2 linked regions of the Drosophila melanogaster genome follow. The protein of the gene in region 1 interacts with the protein of each later gene in a pairwise test. Each region holds a gene or a part of one and is shown on either strand. Other genes may lie near its edges.

The links. Proteins that work in one complex are often made in the same cells at the same time.
Region 2: the proteins of CG18371 (region 1) and l(2)05714 interact in a two-hybrid assay, tested with the Drosophila melanogaster proteins (one large-scale study listed by BioGRID).

The regions. Positions count from the first base shown.
Region 1 is NT_033778.4:14,024,355-14,031,626, reverse strand, and holds CG18371 (uncharacterized protein), read right to left. Parts: upstream 3,008-7,272; 5' UTR 2,894-3,007; coding exon 2,561-2,893; 3' UTR 2,531-2,560; downstream 1-2,530.
Region 2 is NT_033779.5:4,967,358-4,975,227, forward strand, and holds l(2)05714 (lethal (2) 05714), read right to left. Parts: upstream 4,129-7,870; 5' UTR 3,940-4,128; coding exon 3,697-3,939; intron 3,428-3,696; coding exon 2,855-3,427; 3' UTR 2,790-2,854; downstream 1-2,789. Other genes in the region: eIF3i (eukaryotic translation initiation factor 3 subunit i), read right to left, coding at 1-156, 334-336; Scox (synthesis of cytochrome c oxidase), read right to left, coding at 650-1,011, 1,075-1,468; Polr1C (RNA polymerase I and III subunit C), read left to right, coding at 1,728-1,867, 1,928-2,789; CG14043 (uncharacterized protein), read left to right, coding at 4,455-6,257; mRpL28 (mitochondrial ribosomal protein L28), read left to right, coding at 6,780-6,800, 6,920-7,743, 7,796-7,859.

The sequences.
Region 1 (7,272 bases):
CTTCGAGCGACGCGAGCGACGCTGGCAGCGGCAGCAGCAGCAGCAACACGACGCCAGCTGCGACGCCGGCAGCGAGAAAGTTTGCTTTTTGCATTGTTGCAGCGCCGCAGCGAGTGAGTATCTGTGTGCGAGTGGGTGGCTGTTGGTATGGGTGTTGCTGCGGGGATGTCGCTGTTAGCCATAACAGACGGTTGATAAGCTGCTGCTGCTGCTGCTGTTAGCATGTTGCATGTCAGCTGCTCTCTCTCTCTCTCTTACTCTTTCGCTCTCTCTTGGCTTTCATGTTGAAACCAATTCGTTTGTCATTTGTTTAATGACACAAATATTTGCACAAAGTGTTTGCATTTATGTATGCCGCGACAACCTGTCTTACCCCCCCCCCTCCCCCGTTCCACCATTCCAACCAAGCTCCACCGCTGCCCCACTCGCTGTTTTCAATTTCCATTTTGGCGTCATGAAAGTTTTCCCTCAATTTGTATTTGTGCCATAAATTTGATTACCACTAATAGACTAATAATAATCCAACTAATGATCACCGTTTCTGTTTTCCTTGCTTCGCTTCTTTTTTTGTTTTGTTTCTTTTTTTTGTGGGTGGCTTTCAGGCAAATTGAATTCGCTGCCCACTTTCTGATGGCTGTTAAATTGGGTTGAGCCTACAAGGACGAAATCCAGCGAAATCCTACCCAAAAGCCAGGCAACAGCACAAAACAACAAACAAACGTGAACAACTAAATAAGGAAGTGACACCGGAAACAGGCAGCGACATCAACGTCGTAGGAATGCGCAAAGGAATTTGAGCTGATGGTAAAGCGGGGGAAACGTTGGGGGGTGGGGGGGTGTTCTGGGAAAATTCAGAGGTTTTGGGTTTGTGTTTGGGGTTTCGCAGGAATCACTCACAAAAATCCAAGTGAGTCCAGTGAGTCGAGTGAGTCGTGCGAAGCGCTCTTTATCTCGCATTTTTAGCTCGTTTATAAGGCAACGACACCGGCCGGCTGAAACTAGTTAAGGCCACACCAGCAACCCTCTTCGCTCGCCCCAGCCTCTCTGCCACGCCCCCTTGCCTCCTCTCTACAACAACACTCCTCTCGCCCCCCTCTCTTCACACCGCTTACAGCTTAACCTATAAAAATTCCGCAAACCCAACATCCACAAATGGGAACACTCCACCCCACTCCGCATGTGAAAATGTTCTTTTTCAGCTCTCTCGGAAAATCTGGGCGCCTGTTACACACGCAACGAAGTTGCCAACACAACCTCACATGAACGCACACACGCGACTCGAAGCTGTTGCTGTTGCGGTGATGTTGCTGCCGCTGCGTTGATGTTGCTGCTGCTGCTGCTGCTGCTGTTGCCGTTGGTGTTGCCGCTGTGTCAGTGCCGTTCATTTGTTTGATTTTGTTGTGATTATGCGCAGTGCTTCGGCGGCAGAGACGCCGGCAGTGACGCCATCGCCCGAGCAGTGGCAGTGGCGGCGTCGTGGTAGTCAGCGACCCATGGAGGGCATTTGGGGGCGCAACAACAACAGCTACAACGCCAACAGCTAGGCGCGCTGGGCAACTGGATTCTCGCTCCGAGTTACGAGTTACACTTGGACAACTCGAAAATGTGATAAGACATGCATGTGGCACTTTGATTTCAATCCGATTTTGATTTAAAACCACACGGGTTTAAATCGGAATAAGCATCATCAAATTCGGAAATATGGTATTTACAAACAGAGTTACACTTAATATTACTTAGTATATTACTTAAGAAACCAGCTTGCACTTTTCTAACAGCAGGCTAACACATGTAACTGTCAATAATGAAATTCGGAAACAGTACAGTGAACTTTCCAACACTTGAAATCTTAACTTCCTATGCAATAAATGCATTCGTTGAATAGACAGCGGATTACGTACATATATGTATACGTATAATTCATATATATATATCTACCGTTATTCTCATAACAGATAACATTTACCCAAAAATGCATTTCAAGGCATTTCCTTCCGCCTTGAGAAGTCACGACTTACTAGATTTTCACCTTCAATCAAATAGTCAATCTGTTCTTGTTCAGCGCACTGCGATAAATATTTGTGGCTCTCTGTTGTTATTCTAGATTTTCCTTATAGCCAGTATTGTCTGTTGCCTGTTGGCTGCTGTTTGTGTGCCGTAAAAACTCATTGCCAGTTTGGGGCGTCGCTCAACTGGAAATGTGGCCAAGCCGAGGCTAAAACTGAAGCTGAAGCTGAAGCTGCAGGTGTCTGTCTAACCAAGTCATCTCACATATATATATATATACATATGTACATATATTTACTTTGTAGATACATATATTAAAATAAGTACATAGTGGATGTGCCAGCCTCCATGTAATTGCGCTGAGCATTTCTTTGTGCGGCTTAATTAGTGGCTGGCAGCAGCCTGTTTTTCATTTTAGAGGTTTATAAATGATGCTCGCAGAAGCACAACTGGGCTCCATTCGTAGGCAGCTCAATTTAAAGGTCCAAACAAATAGTTACAGCAAATACACAGTTCCAATTTTCGGTAGTAGACTACAAGTCTAAATTCTTTATTAAATGGCCTTTTTCGTTGCTGCCACATTGTGGTAGCGAATCGAGAATCGGCTAAAGTTGTGCGAAGTGATCTCCTTGGTGGGCGTGAATTCCGCCCGCTCGATAATCGAGCGCGGACTGCCGATATTCAGTAGCCAGAACTTCAGCACGTTGACCTTGGGCAGTGTGCCCTCCAGCTGTCCCTTCACCGTGCCCTCGTCCGTGTTCATCACCCACCCGCGCACCTGGTTCATTGTGGCCAGATCTCGTGTCTGCTTCCGCAAACACACACCCTGTACTCGCCCGAAGAGTTCGAATCCGCAGGAGAAGATCTGTTCCGCTGGCTGCATCATCTTCAATATGCTTCGTTTTTTCTAGAAATAACTCCAACTTATTGTCGATCGAGAGAGAGATAGAAACAGAAACTCCACTTGTTGAAATTTAGTTGATTTTTGTCAGTGTTCGTTACAGGAATGTCGCAAGCTCCTAGATTCCCTTAAGCAGTTAAGTGTTTCCTTTCGGAATGTGCGCTCTGCAGCACAGTGAAACCCAAATAATGTTAACACAAGCAAAACTTGCTAAAATTAAATGTTAAACTACTGGGTGTCAATGATATCGCCATTATGTGCTTAAATTAAAATCGACGAAAGAAATAGGGAGTTTACGTTGGAAAAAGGAGCAGTGTATCGGCGAGAGCGCTAATGACATTGTATCTATTGTATATCCATAGCGTATAGCGTATCCCATATCAGCACTGGGGACTCATAAATCACTTGCCACACTCATTCGCACACACGCACACATTCACATGCGACGCCAAGTTCATCTCATGGCAATCCAATCAACTGGCAATGCCACAAAAGTTTGCAACCACCAAACCAGAGCCGAAACCCTCCCCCCCCCTTGTTCCTCTTGCCAGCAAGCCTCCTTCCTTCCCCCTTCCCCCTTCCCCTTCCCCTATGGCCCATGGACACATGAACACCCCCCTCGAAAATGGCAAAACACCACCTATGGGCAGCGCGAACAATAACTAGCGAGATAAACAGACAACATTCGGCGTTAATGCAAACGCGAAACGCCGACATCGCAGGCGATACTAAGGCAAATATTTAATACGATATTTATGGCCTAGGCACAGGATCAAGTGCAAGCGGGATGGGTAGACAGAAAGAGACCAAAAGGGAGAGCATGGGGAAATGAGGTCCTTTGAGCCAAGGTATTTGCAAAAGATGCCTGTGATAAATGACTACAGTTACAAGTACTCGTCCGACAGCTTCCAGAAATTGGTTTCCCGATGACTACATAAATTATACTTTTTCACAATTATGTCTAAGGTTTGTAAGGAAGACTATTAAATATTAACGATACGATATATTCTCTAGAAATTAACTGCTTTTCATTCTTCCACCCTGACGTTAGCGTGCAACCGAAAAGATTTTCCCCCTTTACCATCTACATTTTAAGAAACCAAACGTGTACGTATGTTGAAATGGCCCTAAAGCTGTCAATTTGGTTAAGCGAATTTAAAAGTTTTCGCAAAGTGGAACCAAAGGCTTCCAATTTGGCCGGCACACTGTGGCCAATCCAACTCGAACTCCGTTCGTCGTGTGCCCATTCAAATGAAACACAGCACGAGCCTCGGGTTCGTTTCGAGTTTCAGGTTGGATTTCAGGTTGAGACCGCCACCGACGTCTCCATCGAATTCGCAGTTCCGTCGCTGCCTCCGTCGACGTCCGTTCGATACTGTTGTTGTTGCTGCTGCTGCTGTTGTTGTTGTTGCCGTCGAGCCGAAGGTGAGCAAGCCAAATCAAACAAACCGAAGCGCAGCAAAAAAAAAAGTACGTTGAAACGCTTGAAGGGACTTCGCATGCCTCGCCGTTGGAGCTACGAACGAACGGGTATATATGTTTGTATGTACATGTAGGCATAAGTATAGGTATCGGTATATCTATAGATACTATAGCTCATGCTGTTGCTGCCAGAAACTGCGCTTCAATTGCGACAGCAGCAACAACAACAACAACAGCAAGTCGGTAAACAAAACTCAGCTTCTCCGAAGGCAAACTGCGTGAAGTGGGAGAAAGAGAGCCACCAGCAGCTAAGAGAGAAATTGTGAGAAATTGAGTGATCTTGCAGAACGGATAAACACCAGATAAGCAAGGCTAACAGGGAAAATTCAACTGCACTTAATCACTGATATCAACAAAGGGGGTTTCTTTAAAGATCAATTTTGTATATAAATATATATATATACATAAAGTGGTCATACCAAAAAATATGTATTATTGTTATTAAGTTATTTCCTTGTGGTCTTGATATCATCTTTATAGATTAGCTGATTTTCATAGTTGCAACATATTTCTTGGATTTTGAAGTTTCAGTTTCTGTTTAAAGTATGAACACCATGCTAATACTGTTTTCAAATACCTAAAAGTCAAAGCATTTTCCTATCGTTTCGTTCAAAATTTTTATTGTTCAGAACGTTTGGCCGCCAAGCCAAACGGCGCCAAGCACACACACACACACACACACACACACACACACACATTAACACAAATCAAATCGGAAAAGGCGAAACAAAAATAACAACAACTTGGAACAGCAACAACAACGTCAGCGCCAAGAACAACAATTAAATCGAATTGGAAATTAAAAATAAAAAAGTACAGTACTCGGTCTGTTTCAAGCCCACAGCGTTTTCCCCACCGTTTCTCCAAATTGAATTGAAATGCAAACGAAAGCTAAATACTAAAATTAGCTTAATATAATGTAAGGCAGACAGGGCAATAACAACAAGTGAATAGAAAATCAAAGCGAAGCATATAAAACGGCGATAATTCAAATGCAAAATGTAAACACTTCAAAGCCGCGCGACGGGGAAAGCGGTCGGAAAAGCGGAGGAAAAGCTGGGAAAAATACAGCTACAGTGGCATAGGAAAATTGGAATAATAAGAGAAAGAAGTCGAATGGCTGCGGAGTTCAAAAGGGGAGTGCTTGGGTGAGCAGCAGAAACTCGCACTACGAAGACTTGACTTGGCCTCTAATATCTCACTCACTCACGCACACACGCACATTAAATTGTTTACGCAAATGACAAAATTATTATGCAGTGCAGGGAGAAAAATGATGGCCTCTAAACGTAGTAGATATAAAAAATAAAGCCCAGATGGTAATATATTAACGGATATTAAAACGATATTCTAATTATAAATCTGATTTATACTCATTCCAATCTGATTTATCTTGAATGTCAGCGGATTCTCGAGAATCCACTCAGAATAGGGTTAAGCACACTCAATCGCTGAGTTGTCCCACGCTGCGTATACGTAACCCGTGATCTTGACTTATCAGGCTTATCAGAATAACTCGACGATGATGCAAACATTCCAGTAATGGCGACTCCTTAATGCTCGGATACTTAGCTTAACTTACGGTTTAATCTGCACAATATGCATATCTACACGGTACAACAATGCGTCGATGGGACAAACAAAGGGGGAAACTCACCTGCAACGAGAGAAAGAGAGACAAAATACTGATTAGCCACAAATGCAGCGTAAACGCAATGAGAATGATAAATCAACTGGCTAAAAATACAGCAAGCACAACGGCAACAACAACAACAACAACAAAATCACGTCAGCGGCCAAATAAGGCAAACAATTGCAAAAATCTGCATGTTGACGTCGCTGCCCGCGCCGACTGTGCAGTTGCGTCGCAGTCGAGGAGCTAAAAATATTTCACTCGGCTCGCTTAGAAAATCCAAAATTAGCTGGCACGGCGTGCGCACAAAATCCAAAATGAGGAACACAAAATGAGGCACAGTGGCGTGCGATCCACTTTCTAGCACTCAAAAATCAATAATGGCAGTATATGCAAATTAGGCTGCTAATTGATTTAATTCTATTAAAAAACTATTAAGTATACAAAGTCAATAGTTTAATAGTTTTTTTTTTTACTGGTTACATACCAGTAAGCATTTTATTGATTATTCAAAACAGTGAAAAATAATATCCTTTTTAATTTGACAAAATACGAACGAACTAAATTTCACACCCACTGTGCGGCGTTCGTGGCGTCACCGTTGAGCGACGACAGAGGCAGAGGCTGAGGCAGTGACGGCGAAGTCAACGCCGACGCTTACAGCGTGCGACAGCAGGTTGGCAGAAAGTCTGCCACTGATAACGGGAAATGGCATGCCAGCAACAGCGGCAGCAAAAGCAGCAACAATAAGGAGAGCCATCGACATTCACTCACTCTCTCACTCTTTCTCTTACCGGCTCCCCACTTTACTCACACACTCACTCGTTGGCGCTCTCGCCTCTTCCTCGCTCGCAGTGGCCATGTCTTCTATGCTCTCGTGGCTGGCAACGCTCACGCCAAAATAAACAACAAATGTAAAGTGCGCCCCTTTAGCAATGTGGTATGCACGGAGAAAAACCTACTACTGCACTTTTAATACAAGGAAATATTTTTAAAAATTTTGTTTTTTTTTTTTAAACCTAATTGGTAATCGAGTCTCGGGTTATCGCCTGAAGATGAGTTAGACCATTAATTGCATTTCCCGATTAAATGATTTGTTGCATACTTCAAGGACTGCATAAGATTTTCGTCCATAAAAAACTGCTATTATTTCTCCGTGTGTATAGGAAAAGCGGTCGCAGAGCCTACCCGCCACCCCCCCAAAACACCCAACCACCTAGGACAAGCCATGAAAATAAATATGTGGGCA
Region 2 (7,870 bases), on another chromosome or scaffold:
ACCCTGGTGACCATCGTAGGTGCCCAAACGTTCTCCGTTCAGCGAGTACCACACATTGGGCTTCTGATCCTTGGAGCAGGAGAAGAGCAGGTCGCCCTCGCGGTTGTACTTGATTTGCGTTATGGAACGCTCGTGGCCCTGAAGCATCAACGGACGCTATAAAAGACAGAATAATACGAATTTTTAGCAACAATTTAGGCCGCTTTTAAGGTTATGTTTGGTCCGGAATTTCACACGACTTTCACACTTTGCAAATAGTTGTAATTTCGGGTAAATTCTAAAGAAACCCATCCGGAATAATGCAAACTGTGTAGTCATTGACCAGGCACGCACCATTTTGTATTATATTGTTATTTGTTGCGAGAAAACGAATATTTTTGCAACAACATCCACGCAGCACTACACGCCAAAAGAGCAGTGTGACCGTGGCCTAGTCAAAATCTCACTTCGATATACCAGGGGGATCTAAAAAATACCGTTAATCAAGTTTATTTTGAACAACCAGAAATTTTTACAATCTAGAACTTAAGGTATAGCCAATATAAACGAAAATTTGGATTTAAAACTTGATATACATCAAGTAAAAACCATATTTTATGCCATACATTAAGTAAATACAACGAAACAACATTTGCCTAGCTTAGCCAGCCTAGCTGAACCATCCCTTTTTGTTCATTGAATTCCACTTGGCTATGTTCACCAAAATGGATGCCACACACTGGTCCTTGTCCCGATTTTGGCCGTAGTAATCGACAAACTCGCCATCGGGATTGACCAGGTACATGATGATGGTGTGATCCACAATATAATCGTTGTCCTCGTCCCGCGGTCCAGCGCTGAAATAAACCCTGAAGGCCTTGCACACTTTGCGGATTTGTTCGACGGTTCCCGTGAGTCCCAGCAGTTTGGGGGAGAACTCTTTTACGTATTTGGCCACCACCTCTTTGGAGTCACGTTCTGGGTCAACGGTGATAAAGATGGGCTGCACTGCTGGCGTTTGCGGGGACTTTTCTGTGAAGGTTTGAGAAACATGGTTTTTTTTGGGTTTGGAAGAAATAGTCAGGCTCTACTTACCAACTTCATCGACGACGGCGGCCATCTTCTCTAGCTCATCGGGACAAATATCCGGGCAGTGGGTGAAGCCAAAATAGATGAGCAGCCACTTGCCTAAGAAGTCCTCCGATTTGCGAACAGCTCCCTGCGAATCAACTAATTCCCAACTGCCGCCGATGGCTGCTTTTCCCAATTGCCGCTGACGCTCCTTCATTCTCGCCTCATCCTTCTCGCTCTTCACGTACAGCATGAAGCCCACTCCTCCGGCTCCAAGGGCTCCAATGACGGCCAGACTTCTCCAAGAGATCGGACCCTTGCCTTTAGTGGAATCTGCGGGAGCGGCATAATGACGAATTGCGGGCTGTTGTGCCCAGCGACGACAGCTGCCCACTAAGCGTTGCAGGGAGCGGGACATCTTACGCCCGGTTTCAGAAATTTGAAGGCTTTACGTAAATCTTCTGGAGAAATAAAAATATCGCCGGTGTCCTGCTGCTTCTTCCTATTCAGCCAGTCACGGCGAAACAGCATTTATTTAGTACATAAAGTATATTTATTTAGTATATTAGTTAGTTTGTTAGTTAGTTTGGTATATTTTGGTATTAGAAGGCGGTCTTATTGATTCCAACACGTGCGGTTCAATTTTGTTAAATTATTTAATAAAAACACCGGGGCAAATGGCAAGCAAAAATCGCAAGGAGCCGCTTCTGTACATGGAGGAGTATCGGGTGAAGCAGGATCCGCAGGACTATGGACTGGCGGACGATGTATTTTCCGTTCAGGCTTTCAAGGAAAAGCTGCACATCAAAATCGTCAGGTAAATCTCAATAGAAATTAGAATCTTACGAGTCGATTAACAATTGGTGTTCACTTCTAGAAACGACGAAGACGGCCTGGAGTTCGATCTGATTGGCGTGTATCCCGCCATTGCAAATGCCTTCCGTCGCCTGATGCTCAGCGATGTGCCCAGCATGGCCATCGAAAAGGTGTACATATACAACAACACCTCGATCATCCAGGACGAGGTACTTGCCCATCGAATGGGTCTACTTCCGTTGCGGGCTGATCCCCGTCTATTCGCATACCGCACCGAGGAAAGCACTGAGGCGGGGACCGAGCAGGATACGCTTGAATTTGAGCTGAAGGTGAAGTGCTCGCGGCGACGGGATGCTGGAAAAGATCAGTCCAACTTCGATGACATTTACAAAAACCACAAAGTGTACTCGGGTCATCTGAAGTGGCTGCCCAAAGGAAAGCAGGCGCAGATATACAGCGAGAGTGCTGTGAACTGCATTCACGATGACATACTGATTGCCCAATTGCGTCCGGGTCACGAGTTGGATCTGCGCCTGGTGGCGGTTAAGGGACTTGGACGGGATCACGCGAAATTCTCGCCGGTGGCCACGGCCACCTACCGACTGCTGCCCATGATTAAGCTGAACCGCGAGGTGACCGGTAAGGATGCGTACCTATTACAGAACTGTTTCTCACCAGGAGTAATTGGCATTGACGAGAATGAAACTGCCTATGTAAAGGATGCACGCTACGACACGTGCAGCCGAAATGTGTATCGCTATCCCCAGCTAAACGACGCTGTGACTTTGGCCCGTATCCGAGATCACTACATTTTCTCCGTGGAATCAGTCGGCGCACTGAAGCCCGATGTCATCTTCCTGGAGGCGGTCAAGGTATTGAAGAGAAAGTGCCGGGCGCTAATTGACGAAATTGAGGCAGAATAGTTATTTATTTAGTTGTTAAAGAAATTATATTATGTACATAAGACAGCTTGATATAAATTGTAAGCCTACGAAGATCGTGCTTGCTCTCTCTTGCGCTTGAGCACCTTCAGGCGAAATTCCGTTAGGACCACCTGCAGACGCTCCTGGCACATTAGTGCGTCCTCCAGGTCCATGTTGTTCAGCTGCAGAGCCAAACTCTTGCCAAACAAGTCAAATTCACTAATAATGGTGTCTTCCGTCATCGCGTCGACTTGGTATTCGTTATTAATCTCCGTATCTTCCGGCTTGAGCTGTATCATCTCTTCCTCGTAGACCACCTCTTGGTCCTGGAGATCTGTTTCATTCTGTTGTACTTCGAGGAACTCGTTCTCAACCTCAAATTCTTGCTCTTGATAGGGCTGATCTGTTCTGAGTAAATCATCCAGGATTGAGTCGTTCGAGGCGATTTCGTCCTCCTCCGTCTCCTCCTCCATGCTCTCCACCTTCGTGTCGTTCTTGATCTTTGGCTGCATTTTGCTCCTTGGCTTTTGCCTTGGATAGGTCTTTGATTTGGCTTTGGGCTTTGCTTTGGGTGAAATTATGGAGGCCTCCAAGTCTGGGTCATGCTCATCTTTGACAAGTTCACCCTTAATCATATTCTGTAGGTATAAATACGGAGTTGTTAATTTTATGTAAATTAGTAATGAGATGAGAATTTTTTTTTTGGAGCGATAAGTTGTGCATCGCATAGAGGGAGCTACTGGTTTGGTTAACCATTGCACAAGAAGTAGTCAATGGAATAGTTAACGAAAAGTATGGCGAAAACTCACACAAAAATCGTGTTTGAAATTTAGTTTGGATCGCAAAATATTTGAATCAATAATGGACACGGGTCATTCCTATTGCTTATGCACAAACCCAATCCCACCTTGGCAAGAATGTTGTGGTACTTGAAACTTTCCTGGTGTTTCCGCGTTGCGAGGTGCTGCTTGATGGACGCTAGTCTGGCGAGGACATTGATGTCGCAGATCTTGCAGTGCGCCGAGTAACCGTCATTACTAGACGCCAGCCAGCTGGAGAGCTCCGGATATTTCTCCCACTCTGTGCGATAGCGTTGGTGGTACAGTCGCTTCACCTTCTTGTCCTCATCCGTCTTGTAACCCTTCAGCATTGTGCCCGCTTTCGGATGAAGCTTGTCTGATTTGTGGAAAAGTATTCTTTGAAAGATGAGCGCCAAAAGCAGTCTTTAATAGCTGATGGTGGTAAATATTTTGGTATATTCCAAAAATTTGCGACGCGAAAAAAATCTGAAAGTCGATGCGGTGTGACTGTAATCGAATACGTTATAATACCAGCAATTAATTCCAGGGTTGCGACATAGAGGTTGCTGCGCAACGGTCACACTAAGCTGTTTTGTTTATATAAACATTTTATGCCTTCAAGTTTATATTAGAGGCGTTTATGGTTGTGTTATGTACTTTTTGAAAATACCTTACTTGTACATAGTTCAAATTAATTTAGTTTGAGATTTTAAATAAAATATTCTTTCATGGTTTGGGTCTCAGGTAAAGTTTAAGCAGTCACAATACGGCCACACTACACACTCATAGAGAAAAAATATAGTAAATAAAAAGGCTTTGCCGAATTCAGGATAGCTTTTGCCTGCACCGTGGGTGCTCAGCCAACATGGTCATTCCAAAGGAGATCCTAAGCGACTTCAAGGAGCTATACGAGAAGGCCAACCGTCTGGTGGAGGAGGAGAGCCGCAATGATCCGCCCACGGATCCATTCCGCTCCCATTATAAAGCGCGCGATGTGCTAATTGTCTTGAAGAAGCAGCTGGACGACCAACTGGTATCTGTGCAGGCCAGCGAGGAGGACGGTGGTCAGGACGATCGCTGCTATCACTCTCTGTTGGCCTTCGTTTGCCGGGATCTAGGCAGGATCTACATCTACACAGAGGAGCAGGCAGAGGGCGAAAAGATGCTCAATCGTTGTCTGGAACTAGTCACGCCGTTTAAGGAGTGCCCTGAGGGCATCATTCCATTCATTGGGGCAATCAACGAGCTTAGCATTGTGCTGGCCTCCAAGGAAGAGTACAATAAGGGACTGGAAATTCTCCTGGAGGCAGAAAAAATCTACGAGGACTTCAAAGCCAGTGGTCTGAAGCCCCTGGCCATTCAAGATGTGTTCAATCCTCCGGAGGAGGGACAACAATCTCACGAAGCTGGTCCCAAGGAACTGGAATCCCTGTACACGCTAGTCTCATTTTACATGGCGCAAATGTACGGGCATTTGGGTGAGCCGGAAAAGTCGGCCAAGTGCTGCCATCGCACCCTCCATCGACAGCTTGAGTCAAAAACATACGATCCCATTGATTTCGCACTGAACACCGCCACCTTGTCACAGTTCTATATTGGAGAGAAGCGCTTCGAGGAGGCCCGTCATCACCTGGCCGCTGCTACGCTCATCATGGCCGAATATGAGGTGCACATGCTGGAGCCGGAGATGAGCGAGAAGCAGCGCCAGGACGTGTCGGAGACCTTTAAACATCGCTACGCCGATGTGGCACGCTGTTGGGCCAAATATGGATTGTATTTAATGAACACATCCAAGCTTCGGCTGATGCGGGACGAAGATGACGAGGATGCCAAGAACCTGGAGATCGTTCTGCGCAATATGCGGCTGGTCGAGGCGGAACAGTCCCGGTTTCCTGGACTTGACCTCACCGCGTGTGAAAATCGTATTAGTTGTGAATACTGCCTGACCTTCGACGATGCCAAGTTGGTGTTTCATTTTGTGAACGAGTGGCTCGACATAGCCAAGGACTATTACAAGGCCGAGAACGAAGCTACTGAGTATTCAAAGATAATGCAGGATTACGCCGAAGCGTATGAGCACATTGCCTTCTTCGAGGAGAATCCAGAAAACCAGGCCAAGATGCAAAAGCGTCGCGCCAAGTATCTGGAAGATCTTTTGGATCTGCTTGACCCCATCTTTTACATGAAGATATGCCGAGAATGCTGGTATGGAGCCGGCACAGCTCATGCTGCCGTGATGGATGTCCGTCTCGACATCATTCGGGCCACTAGCACGCCAGCGCCGGAGGACATCAAGAAGGTCAATCAGAGCTGTATGAAGGCCATCAAGCACTTTGAGAGCTATGTCAAATCCTATCTGGTCAAACCGCCCAGCGAGGAATGGCGACCCAACATGGACGTGGAGGAGCAACGCCACATGCTCTACGCCCACTTCCACATCGGTCGCATCTACTACAAGCTGATCAGTGGCCATCCGCTCCAGCAGCTGGAGCACCTAACTAGTTGCCACACCTACTACCAGAGATTCGATGCTGGTTGCCAGCTGCACAAGGAGGCGGCCGAGACGCTGCAGGGCGAGATTGGTGTTGTGCGTGAAATGCTCCAGCTGTTGCCGCTCAAGATAAACACGATTAAGGCCAGGTTGAACAAGGCTGGGCTAACCGCGTGAGAATTTCCAAAAAATTAATTGCATTTGCTAAAAGCTTTATACGTAGTCAAAATAAATCGCGTTTCTTTCAAGGATATTTAATTGTTAATACATTAGTAACTTACATGTTACATTCTGATAGCGAAAGTAAGCCGCTTTTCGATTTTAATTGCCGACAGCATAAATTTATTTCTTGCTACTCGTGAATGGTACTTATGCCGGAGTATGGCTTGGCGCACTGTTTCATATATTGATTATAATAAATAAGTTGAACTACTTCGAAACTCAATTTTTTGCCGAGCATTTCTAAATTTCACAAAACTAAATTGAACGAAGCTCTGTCTCCGAAATACTTTTCAAACCTGGCAACCCTGGCTGCCAGCCATTCACATACGAACAGCTGTTTTTTCCAAACAGGAAGAGGAAGAGCGCCGTTGGCCTAGCCAAAATCAGGGAAAATATAGTTTAATAGCCAAGTTTAAACTGCCACTATAGTTTTAATAGTGAATAATAACAGTAAACTGCTAGTTCGTTCCTTAAAAAATGGCACACGCCACGCCACAGGTATGTGATTGCCTCAAAAATAAAGAGGAAACTGGTAGTGCGCCGCGTTTCTGTGACGCAATAGCTGCGTTAACTTTCGTAAACCCCATGGAATAACAAAGCGTTTAAACCTTCTGCAGGGCGTAAAGCTATTAAACGGATGGAAGCGTCCGGGTCGCTTTGACAAGGGTCTGGGAGCCCAGCTGCCCGAGGCGTACAGGAAGTTCTGGCGCGAGTGGAAGCTGACGACCCCGGCTGCGGTCCATTATATCCCCAAGGAGCAGCAGTGGGAACGAGATGAGGTGACGCACGCCATCAAGCCGGTGCAGAACATCCCGCTGCCATTGATCGATACGCCGGAATCGCACCGTGGCATCTGGGGTGGCGAGGCCGTGATCAAGGGCTTTCAGAAACGCGAGCAAACAAAGCGTCGCGTGCCGCACTTTTGGGTACCAAATCTTAGGCGTTCGGTGGTCCATAGTCATGTGCTGGACTGCTACATGTCCGTGGTGGTGACGGAACGCACGCTGGAGCAGATCCATGAATGTCATGGCTTTGATCACTACCTCCTCAAGAATCGTGCCTGCGATCTTCGCTCCGCTTTGGCTCTGAAACTCAAGCGAGAGGTGCTTCAGGCCCTGCAGAACGGTGTTCCAGCCCTCGCCGACGAGCCCGAACGCCAACAGGAAGTGCTTAAGGAATACCGCCGCTATCTGGAACCATATACGCCCGAGGAAATCGATTGGTACGGCCATACCTATTTGGAGGCCATACGCAAGCTGCAAAAGCAGCTGCGCGAAGCGGAAAAGGTGGTGCCGCATAAGTTGGAGTTCCGCGGAAAGCTTATCGAGCAGCTGCGCCAGGCGGGGATCAGCGAAGCGGGAAAGCTGGAGAAGCCGGATGCATTAGCAGCAGAATCGTCGGTCGAACACAAGGATTCGGATATCGAAGCGCTTACAAAGCTGTAAGTCACAAATACTTCTGTAATGAATTTCCTAACCAATGATTTATTCCAGGGAATCCTCCCCCTCTTCCAGTTGGCTGTCTAAAATCAATCCTTTCGGCAAGAAAGAAACCTAGAAAAGCTGTCC